Coturnix japonica: one gene and its partner. Each later gene encodes a partner of the first gene's protein in a complex. Links are inferred from orthologs where the notes say so. Each region holds a gene or a part of one and is shown on either strand. Other genes may lie near its edges. The genes, in order: KATNB1 and KATNA1.

Region 1 (4,450 bases):
TGTGCTCTAGTGGTAACCCTACTCTTCCTAATGTGCTGTGCCCAGGATTATTCTTTTCCAGCCTACGGTCAAGTCAGTATTCAAAACTTTGTGCTGACAATGAGTGTCTGTGGGACAGTGGAAATGCATCCTGCCTGGGATGTTTCCTGCAAGGAGGACAAACTCCAAGATGCAAATTCGGCCCCTGTAGCTCACACTACAAGACAAGCTGACCTCATACAAAGCTATAATTGCCTGCAGCACAGTAACAGAAGGCTCCATATTCATTATCTGAGAAAATACTAGTTCTGTTGGAGCAGAGAGCCATCTCTGGTCCTCCTTGGAGCAGCAGCCTCACCAAATTCTGTCCCAATCTTTTGCCAGCATCTGGCCATCTGGCTTTGCATTGATAAACTCTATTCACAAGTCCCACAGGCTACAACCCAGCAATCTCCTCCCTCGTTCCCCACCCTCCCTGTCTCAGAATTAACGCTCTCCTCCCCAGGAAGTTGAAGCTGGCCTGCTCTCACCATGACGCAGTTGGGCTTGTTAACTGACCACACGTTGACCCGACAGTCATCTCCTCCAGTTGCCAGCAGCCGGCCCGAGCTCTTCCCCAGGACTAACGAGGACACGTTGCTGCTGTGAGCCACGATCTCTTCTGCAGAAAATGAAGCAGTCAGGATGGTCTGCATTAAGGACTTTCCACCCCATTCCTCCCAAAGAGATTAAAACAATTCTTGCTCCAGAAAGCCTTTCTGGTTTCCACTGGAAAAGTGGCAGCAGCATGCAACTCAGATAAGAAGTCACAGTATTATCTGGCTTCAAACAGTCCTCCTGGGCTCTGTCTGCTGTACTTAAGATGTTTGCTGGCCAGGCTTCCTAAAAGCATCTTCTCTCCCCAGCAGCAGTGCAGTAGCTTTTAAAGACTGCAGCAACCTGCTCACAGAGGCCGCTTTTCCTTCTGCACTGAGGTGGGTCTCAGTCAGCAGAGCTGCTTCAGAAGCTGCAATGATAAGCAGCAGTCACAGACTCCTAGAAAAGGCCTCTAACTAGGAGAGCTGTGTCCAACCCCAGAGGGACTCAGTTCAGTTTGTTACCTGACAGAGCAAAAAGCCAGACTCATCAGAGGGAGAAGTGGAGCTGTGCTTTGGCATAGGCTGTGCTAAAGTGAAATTCAGCAATTCAGCTTGCCACTGTGATAAAGGATGGGCATTTAAAGGGGCACAAAGAAGCAAACGTGGCTGATATGGAAAGATTGTTAAGAACTGAAGGGCTGATAGAAACACTAGAGTTCTAGGAAAGAAAGCCTTACAATACAAGCGTGTGGCAAAAGATAAGCCAAAGAAGCCCTTTTGCACAGACATCAATTTTTATAATGGATTTTAAAATCCACCCAAAATTTTGGCAGGAGCTTTTGGCAGATGTATTTATCAATTTCTTCCCTTGACTGCTCTCTGCTTTGAGAGTTTAATGCATTTGCAGGCCTAATAGGTATAAAACAGGAGGCTCAGGGGAGACCTCACTGCACTTTACAACTTCCTGAATGGAGGTTGTGATGAGGAGGGGTTTGGCCTCTTCACCAAGACAACAAACAGGACCCGAGGAAATGGCCACAAGTTGTACCAGATGAGGTTTAGATTAGACATAAGAAGGAACTTTTTCTCTCAGAGCGTGGTCAGGCACTGGAATGGCTGCCCAGGGAGGTGGTGGAGTCTCCATCCCTGGCAGTGTTCAAGAAGCATCTGGATGAGGAGCTGTGAGGGATGGCTTAGTGCCTTGTGGTAGCAATGGTGATCTTGTAGGTCCTTTCCAACCTTGTGATTCTATGAGGTTTGTTGTAAAAGGGCCATGCAGTAATCAACTCAGCTCTCCTTGGAGTTGCTCTGGTGGGAAGGGCGATGTGACTGTGTAAAGCACACCACTAACCCAAAGGGCCATCAGACAGCTGCAGCAGTAATTAAATCTGCTTTGATCTCAGGCTCCGAGTGTTTTTCTGAAAGCAAAACTGTGCAACTTTCACTTCAGCTGGAGGAACACCTTTGAAATTACACAGGTAAATGGGGCTGTAAATGAGATGAGCCAAGCTGAAAGTATGTGTGCTCTGTGTTGAAACCCCAATCCTCCTTAAGAAAACACTAAAGGATGTATATGTGCAAAGAACCAAAGGCAACAAGCAGCACAATTAGTACTGAGAGACCAACTCGCTTGTAAAAGAGGAAAGTACAGATGCTGAGCACTGCTGGTACCAATAGGAATGTACCAACACCTTGTGCTTTTCCTCCTCCTGGCTTCATTCTTTGTAATACAGCGATGTTTAAGTGTCACTGCTGAGGAACCAGCCCCTGTCTATAGGGCCGGGCTGTGGGCTCTCTCCTCATCCACAATGGCACTGAGCCCCCACGAGCACCATAAACACTTCAGAACACGCTGAGGGAGGGCACCACCAACTCATGGCTGAGGTACAGAAGGTTGATCTGCTGCTGGAGGTTCCCATCCCTGCGATTTCTGCACAGCAATCTGCTGTTCTGCCCCCGCTCAGTGGATGAGCGGCTCACTCCGGTGCCACCTCCCACCCCAGCCTCCAACCGGGCCCGGCTCCCCCCGCCCCCCGCCGCCACTCACGCAGCTTCCAGGCCGTCTTGGTGACGACGGCCGCTGCCATGTCCCGCCGCCTCCAGGCTCCACGCCTGGGCCTGTCTCGGGGCTCGACCCCTTCTCTGTCTCAGCACGGCCGCTCCGGGCCCCTCTCCGCCGCCGATCCCCGCGGTGCGGCCTGCGGGCCCCAGTGCGCTCCGGTGGGTTAGGCCTGGGCCGCCTCCACCCGGCACGACTCGCCTGGCAACCGGGCCCTGGCAACCGGCCCCCAAGCGCCAACCTGGGTCGCGCCACGCCCGCGCCCGGCTTCCACCAATCAGAGCCGCCCTTGCTCCTCCCGCCTGTCCCGCAAAGCCAGGGTTCTGTCAGGCGCTCGACCAATGGGAGACGAGGGATGGGAGGTTGCCATGCAAACTACAGAGCGGCTGACCATTCGCAGCGCGGCTTCTTGGAAAAGCCTTTCCAGCCTAGCCAATAAGGAGGCGCGGAGCTAGGTTGCTTCATGTCTGTGGGTGCTGAGGGGGGGTGTCATGGCGGCGCTCAGGTCAGGCCCGGGGGAGCGGCCCCACAGCCCGCAGCTCCATCGAGGGAGTCGCTGTGGTGTCAGACGCTGCACACAAAGGGAGGCAGCATCCTGCCATCAGCACCTGAATGCTGCCACCCTGTGCAAGGGTAACATGGTCCATTGAGTGACCTGTGATGTTTGGATTGAGCATTATGAGCTGCTTCTGCTTGGTGGCTTTCTGCAATGGGAACAGTGCAACACTGGCTTCTGTGTTTTAGTATCAGGGGATGATTATTAGCCAAGAAAGTGGATTGTTTAAGACAGTAGATGGTACAAGTTCATTAAAATCCTAGAGATAGATGCACAAAGACTTATAGCAGAACCTAATGAGAATGCAAGATTTCTTGCAGGCAAGTAGGAAAACCTCTTCTCCATTTTTAAGGCTGCTTTTAAAAGGCTTCAGCACCAATTTCCAGTGTCTGATCTGAAGGAATAAAGAAGCGATCAGGGGTGACCGAGGTGCTCTGCAATGCGAGGGTCATTGCGCAGTTTCTCCTCAAGAGCCAGGTACCGCTGTGGTGCTGTCTGCTTTTCCCTACAACAAGAAGGGGAATGATCAGAGGAAAGCTGCAGCAGGACGTGGAGTAGAATGGTTTACAGAACAGCTGCATTGCTCAGTGATAGGAATGCTGACTGGTACACCTCCCTGTTCCCCTGGGTGCTTTTCAAGTCATCATTCCCAGTACCTGTCGAGTCTTAGTGCTAGAATGTGGATACGAAACATGGTTTCAGAGTAACCAGCAAGGAATTCAGCCTCCTCCTCCTCACTGAGCTGATTCCGCTTTTCTTGAAACTGCTGGTTCTTCTTCTGCAGCTCTTCTACCTCCTGTTGAGAGAGTGGCAAGAAGTCAGGGTAATCAAAAGGAGAGTGAGGAGCACAGATAGGCAGAAGTGCAACTTGGAGTTCAGGGAGCCAAGATAGAGGAAACCACAAATAAGAGCTGCTTTATTTTCATAAGGTAGTGAGTCCGAGGTAAGATGAAAACAAGGGAATCTAAACACGTGGACCAGTGAGAGGCTGCAAGACCAGAATGCGTTGCTTCACTATAGTTAAGACACACTGGAGAACCAAATCAGTTCTGCTTGAAACAAGGACTAAATTTGACCCTGGAGCTATTCCATTCTTTGATCTCACATGTTCATGACAAAATGACACAGCTGTGTCTAGGGCTCCCTTAAAGGTAAAGGAGTTTTGTTTCCTGTCACGATGAGATGTGTATTACCCTCCCTCCCGCCAGTGCAAAACCGACTTCAGTTACATGCACACCATGGAGCAAGGCTGGGAATACCTTTTCAAAACGAGCTTGC
Region 2 (4,539 bases), on another chromosome or scaffold:
TTGAGTCTATTGAGATTCTTCTGGCTGCTGCTTAAAACATGGGTGTTTCACTGGCTACTCATCATGGGGATTGGTTTATACTGGCAGTAGAGAAACCAGCAGCTGTGGAATTATGCAGTGAGTTTTAGTTCAGATTACTTTTCTCTCTGTAAAGCATGAAAATAAATTTCTCATGTGTATCCTTGTATACATATAAATTGTATTTATAAGATATTCTATAATCATATACTGTATTGTAAATACTATTTGATATTCAGTGGCATTCTATCCTAGGGCAGGCCCTCTTGCTGTATCTTTTCTATCCTCAGTTTGTAATAGACTCTATAGAATATATGGCTAGGACACCACTGAGGCTGACTTGCCTTCTGCTGTTGCAAAGCTCTAAGCTGTGAGTGGGAATGATTTAGTTTCATTTAATATTGTTTAGCTGATAGGCGGTGCAGTGGGTGGGTTCTTAGAAGTTGCTGCTGTCACTGAAGATACAGTTAGGCATTGGTTTCAGATGTCTTTGGCATTTCAGATCAGACCTTTTAATGTTTGCTTTAGTTCAGCCAAAGCAAAAAGATGTTAAATTGGGTCAATGTGATAGTCAAACATTTGAATGCCTTAAGATGCTCTTGATAAAGGCACTATTCAAGTTTACTGATTTATATATATCTATATAGGCACATATATAGATATATTGTGTGTATATGTGTATATAAATAATGTCTTTTTTTGTATTATAAACATTCTTCTGATTGTCACAGTTCCTTTGGATCTTCAATTAAATACATAGACCACTGCACAATTCTGCTCAAGCATATTATTTATTATATGAGTGAACCTTGCTAGCCCCAGTCTGGGCGCTGTGAGCAGGGGGTTGTATTGACACAACACTACGCTTCATGTAAAGTTACAGCAGAACAGGAGACTTCTAGAACGTGTGGGCAGTATAACTGTCAGCTTGTAGTAATCAATTACACTCATTCAGAGTTTAGAAACTGGTTCTGTTCTCAGAAGCAGTTACTGTAGCGTGACACCTTCTGGGGTAGTGAAAAGTACAAGAATACAGTCACTGAAGACCAGCTTTCCGTTTTGGTTAATCAGATGAAATGTACACAGCAGTCATCCAAATGCAGTTGTTTGTTTTGTTGCTTTCTTTCCATTTTCTCTCCCCAGAATCCCCCCCTACTACAACAGATTTACTGATGAATAAAAGAAGTGTTTGTAACCTGTTCACAAAAGCATCCAATTTGCTGTTCAAGAGCTGAATTCGCTGGTGCTTTCCCTGCATTCTGCTGCCACTTCCATCATGATCATTAAAACGTTATTTATTATGCATAGATATTCCTACTCTGAAGTGATGCACCCTACTTCAGCTTTTATGTTTTGTTCCTTTCACGTTTAAGACAATCTGAAGAGCTGTAGGCAGTCACAATGCAATTAATAGGTATGCTCTGTGCTCACATAAACAGTCCGTTTATAAATCAGCACAATCAAGTAAGAAATAGGGACTGAAACTGAAATAAACAGCTCATGGGGGGGCAGCTGTGTCCCAGGTTGAACGCGGTGTGTGTGGGATGGACGCTGCAATCCTCTCAGCCGCGGTCCCCAACGGCCGGCGCGAGTTCCCCAACGGCCGCGGCGGGGCGGCGCCATGTCAGAGCTCGCGCACTCAGCCCCGCCGCTCTCGCGCTGTTCAACTGAGGTAGCGCGGAGTCTTTTAGCCCGTAAGCATTGGTGGTTCAGTGGTAGAATTCTCGCCTGCCACGCGGGAGGCCCGGGTTCGATTCCCGGCCAATGCAAATAAGCTTTTTAAAGTTATCTATACTTTAAATTCCTTTTTTTTTTTTTTTTTTTTTTTTTTTCCCCTTTTAAAGCACCGCAATCTCCTCTCAGCCAGCAGTAACTCTGAAACAGCGATGTTCATCGGGTGCCAACGCGATACCGATGAGTAGCACCGCCTGGAAGTGACGCAGCGGATTTGCCTTCAAACCGGCGGCGGCGGCAGGAGGCGGGCGGAGCTGGGCGGGGTTACCGAGCCGGAGGAGAGAAGGAAGGCGAAGGGACGAGGGAGCTGCTGCCGGGCTGTGGGCCGTGCGGGTGAGACCCGCGGCGTTCACTCCAACGTGGAGCGTCCCCGTCCTCGTCCTCCGCTGGCGGCCGTCGCGCGGGGCCGCCTTCCCGAGGTGAGGGCTGCCCGGCACCTGCCGCCGCGTGGCCGGGGCTGCGCGTAGGGCCGGAGGGTCGGGCCGGGGCTTCGGCTGTGCCCTCCGGCCTAAGGACCGGCGGAGAACGCGGTCGTTGTTGTCGCGACGTCTACGAGCACCCCGAAGTGCTCCCCGCTCCCCCTCGCTGCCGTGCCTTGGGCGGCCGAGGGACGCTGCGTGTCCCGCGGGGCTCCTGGCCGGGGCTGCCTGAGGAGCTGGATTTGGCTTTGTGCTCACTTCTCCCCACCTCCTGCCTTTTATTTATTTCTTTATTTATTTTGGAATGTATTTTAGATTTCCATGTTGCCTTTTCCTTTCAGCTGAGAAGTTTCCTTCTTGCTGAGAAGTTCGTTGTCGTGGTTCTGGTTGTCTCGGAGTGCTGGTCTCGTGAAACGGGAGCAAGTATCGTGGTTGTTTCAGAGTCTTATGAAAAGCTCAGTATTGAAAACACAGCGTTGTCCCTGTACGCGAGGAGGTTTTGCCTCTGTGGAGTGTGCAGTGTTTCAGCCGGCTGTCTCTCACTACTGTTAAACGCAGTGTTTGAGGAGCAGTCAGTGTGGGTAAACCCAGCGAGAGTCGTGTTTCTCAAGCAATCAGCAGGAGCACTTGTTGATAGCAGAAGCTGCTCACAGTGTGCGTTGTGGAGTGGGGTAGTAGATCTGGAAGGGATCTCAGAGGTATGTGGGCCCACCTATGGGACAGTGTATGAGGAACATAAATTGGCTCCCGAGAGCTCTTACTGCTGGTTTCCCCTTTCTGCGTTTATGGAGGGAACTTTGTGAGTCTCACATGGCTGCTGTGGTGTCAGAGCCTGCCTAACAGGAGTGTGAGCTCTGCCACAACCCTGCTGCTGGTGTAGGCCAGATGCATAAGTCTGACCAGAGGGTTCTGCAGGAATACAGTCCTTGTGTGGCTTGTGCTGTTCTGTATCGACAGAGGGTTGGGAGACCCACAGCAGCTGACAGCCTTTGGCTTTGTGCTTCCTTCCTGGCTGCTCCGGATCTTTTTTTTCCTCTTTGTGCGTGTACGGTGGGATTTCTTTGTGAAACATTGTTGAAATCATGTTGGACTCCCTAAATCCTTGTGTACCAGTGTGAAGAACTTTGTGTACTTCTTGATAATTTCATAAAGTTATTGCTGGAAATGATTCCTCCCACACCGCTCTTGACAGTTTCAGACCTTAGGAACATTTCAGGTGCTTAGAGCAGATGATAAAACGTATGGATGTGTTTTGTTACTGGAGGTGGGTTAAGGCGTGACGAGTTTCATTTGTATCAGTCTATGGGAACTGAGAATGTTTACAGCCAGTTCAGAGAGGGCGAGTGGTGTGTGTACATGCGTGGAATTAAGCTACAAGTCCGAGTTCTTAGGCTGGTTGTGTGGTGAGCTTTACAAGCCCATTGCTCCTCCAGTGGCTGTTGGAACGTAGATAATTTTGCAGGGGGTGATTCACGGGAAGGTTGTAGCTGATAAGTGTGTTCCTGCTGCTCTGACATCCGGCTACGTGACAGCACCAGGTATTTGTAAACACTCTGCAAATTAAGTGGTTACAAATTAGATTATTTTTCTCAAATTGTTTCCTGAATTTCTTCAGGTCTGGCTTAGCTCTGGGTCTGTGTGTGCTCACACCTCTCTCACATGAATCTTCTATGGTACTGTGAGCTGCCACAGCCTGCTTCATGCTGCGAACCTTAATCAGCTTTCAGATTAGTGCTCTAACTCCGTCTCCTGCCTGTCTTGAAGCCGCTTCAGCATCTGCAGTTGCAGCAAGCTGTGAGCTTGCATTAGTGGACCCACTCTGGTGCTGCTGTCTGCAAGCCACAACAGCGTGTCCAGACATGGGCTGAGCCAGCAGCTGTCCTGCACGGGAGGCACGTGTCTGGGAGCTGCTCCAACCTCTGCTCTTCTTGTGAGTCAACATGAACCAACGCATGCACTGTTTTATTACGCTCTGTGTCCCATCTCTGATATTCAAGCAGAATTGCTGTTCTGCTCTGATCGCTCTGCAGTATTCTGTTTGTGTACTGCTTCTCACTGTGTTTGAAAGGCTGTTTTGGCTCTGGTAACTTGCTGTTACTTGATTTTTAGAATGTTTATTAGTATCTTGCTCAACTTGTGATTTCAGAGGTGTTAGTCATGGGTTTGAATTCTCAGGACAGGCAAACAGGTGTATCTGGTAGGATGAGCACGGGTGGAAAAGCTTGCTCCTAAATATAGTAGTACAACTTTGGTAACATCTGTGTGATGATCCAGGCAGGTGTTGACAAATATCTTCAGGCTCTTTCTCCTGAGGTTAAAAAACGCAACAATACTCCCAAGTCAAGTTGTGTCTCCAGAGCCTAATCAC

What was found.
Region 2: the proteins of KATNB1 (region 1) and KATNA1 are in contact, whole or in part, in a crystal structure (PDB 5OW5), measured with the Mus musculus proteins. The link is inferred for Coturnix japonica from reciprocal best matches to the Homo sapiens genes KATNB1 and KATNA1. Residues at the interface, in NP_083081.2 of Mus musculus: Leu485, Val486, Asp487, Glu488, Ala490, Met491, Gln493, Ile494, Arg495, Gly497, His498, Met501, Phe502, Val504, Leu505, Thr506, Arg508, His509, Leu512, Asp513, Val515, Arg516, Trp519, Thr521, Asp542, Leu543, Ile546, Gln549, Lys550, Leu553; in NP_035965.2 of Mus musculus: Leu5, Gln6, Ile8, Val9, Val12, Arg16, Ala19, Leu20, Leu21, Gly22, Tyr24, Tyr31, Tyr41, Leu50, Lys53, Trp54, Gln56, Val57, Glu60, Ile61, Val63, Glu64, Gln67, Val68, Asp70, Ile71, Thr74, Leu75, Ser77, Phe78.

The regions. Positions count from the first base shown.
Region 1 is NC_029526.1:1,953,986-1,958,435, reverse strand, and holds the start of KATNB1 (katanin p80 WD40 repeat-containing subunit B1), read right to left. Parts: upstream 2,883-4,450; 5' UTR 2,645-2,882; coding exon 2,605-2,644; intron 1,455-2,604; exon of another isoform or gene 641-1,454; coding exon 510-640; exon of another isoform or gene 485-509; intron 1-484. Other genes in the region: DRC7 (dynein regulatory complex subunit 7), read right to left, coding at 3,587-3,677, 3,829-3,968, 4,432-4,450.
Region 2 is NC_029518.1:43,364,964-43,369,502, reverse strand, and holds the start of KATNA1 (katanin p60 ATPase-containing subunit A1), read left to right. Parts: upstream 1-1,625; 5' UTR 1,626-1,712; intron 1,713-1,716; exon of another isoform or gene 1,717-1,787; intron 1,788-1,862; 5' UTR 1,863-2,171; intron 2,172-3,935; 5' UTR 3,936-4,101; intron 4,102-4,539. UniProt on the Homo sapiens protein: Catalytic subunit of a complex which severs microtubules in an ATP-dependent manner. Microtubule severing may promote rapid reorganization of cellular microtubule arrays and the release of microtubules from the centrosome following nucleation.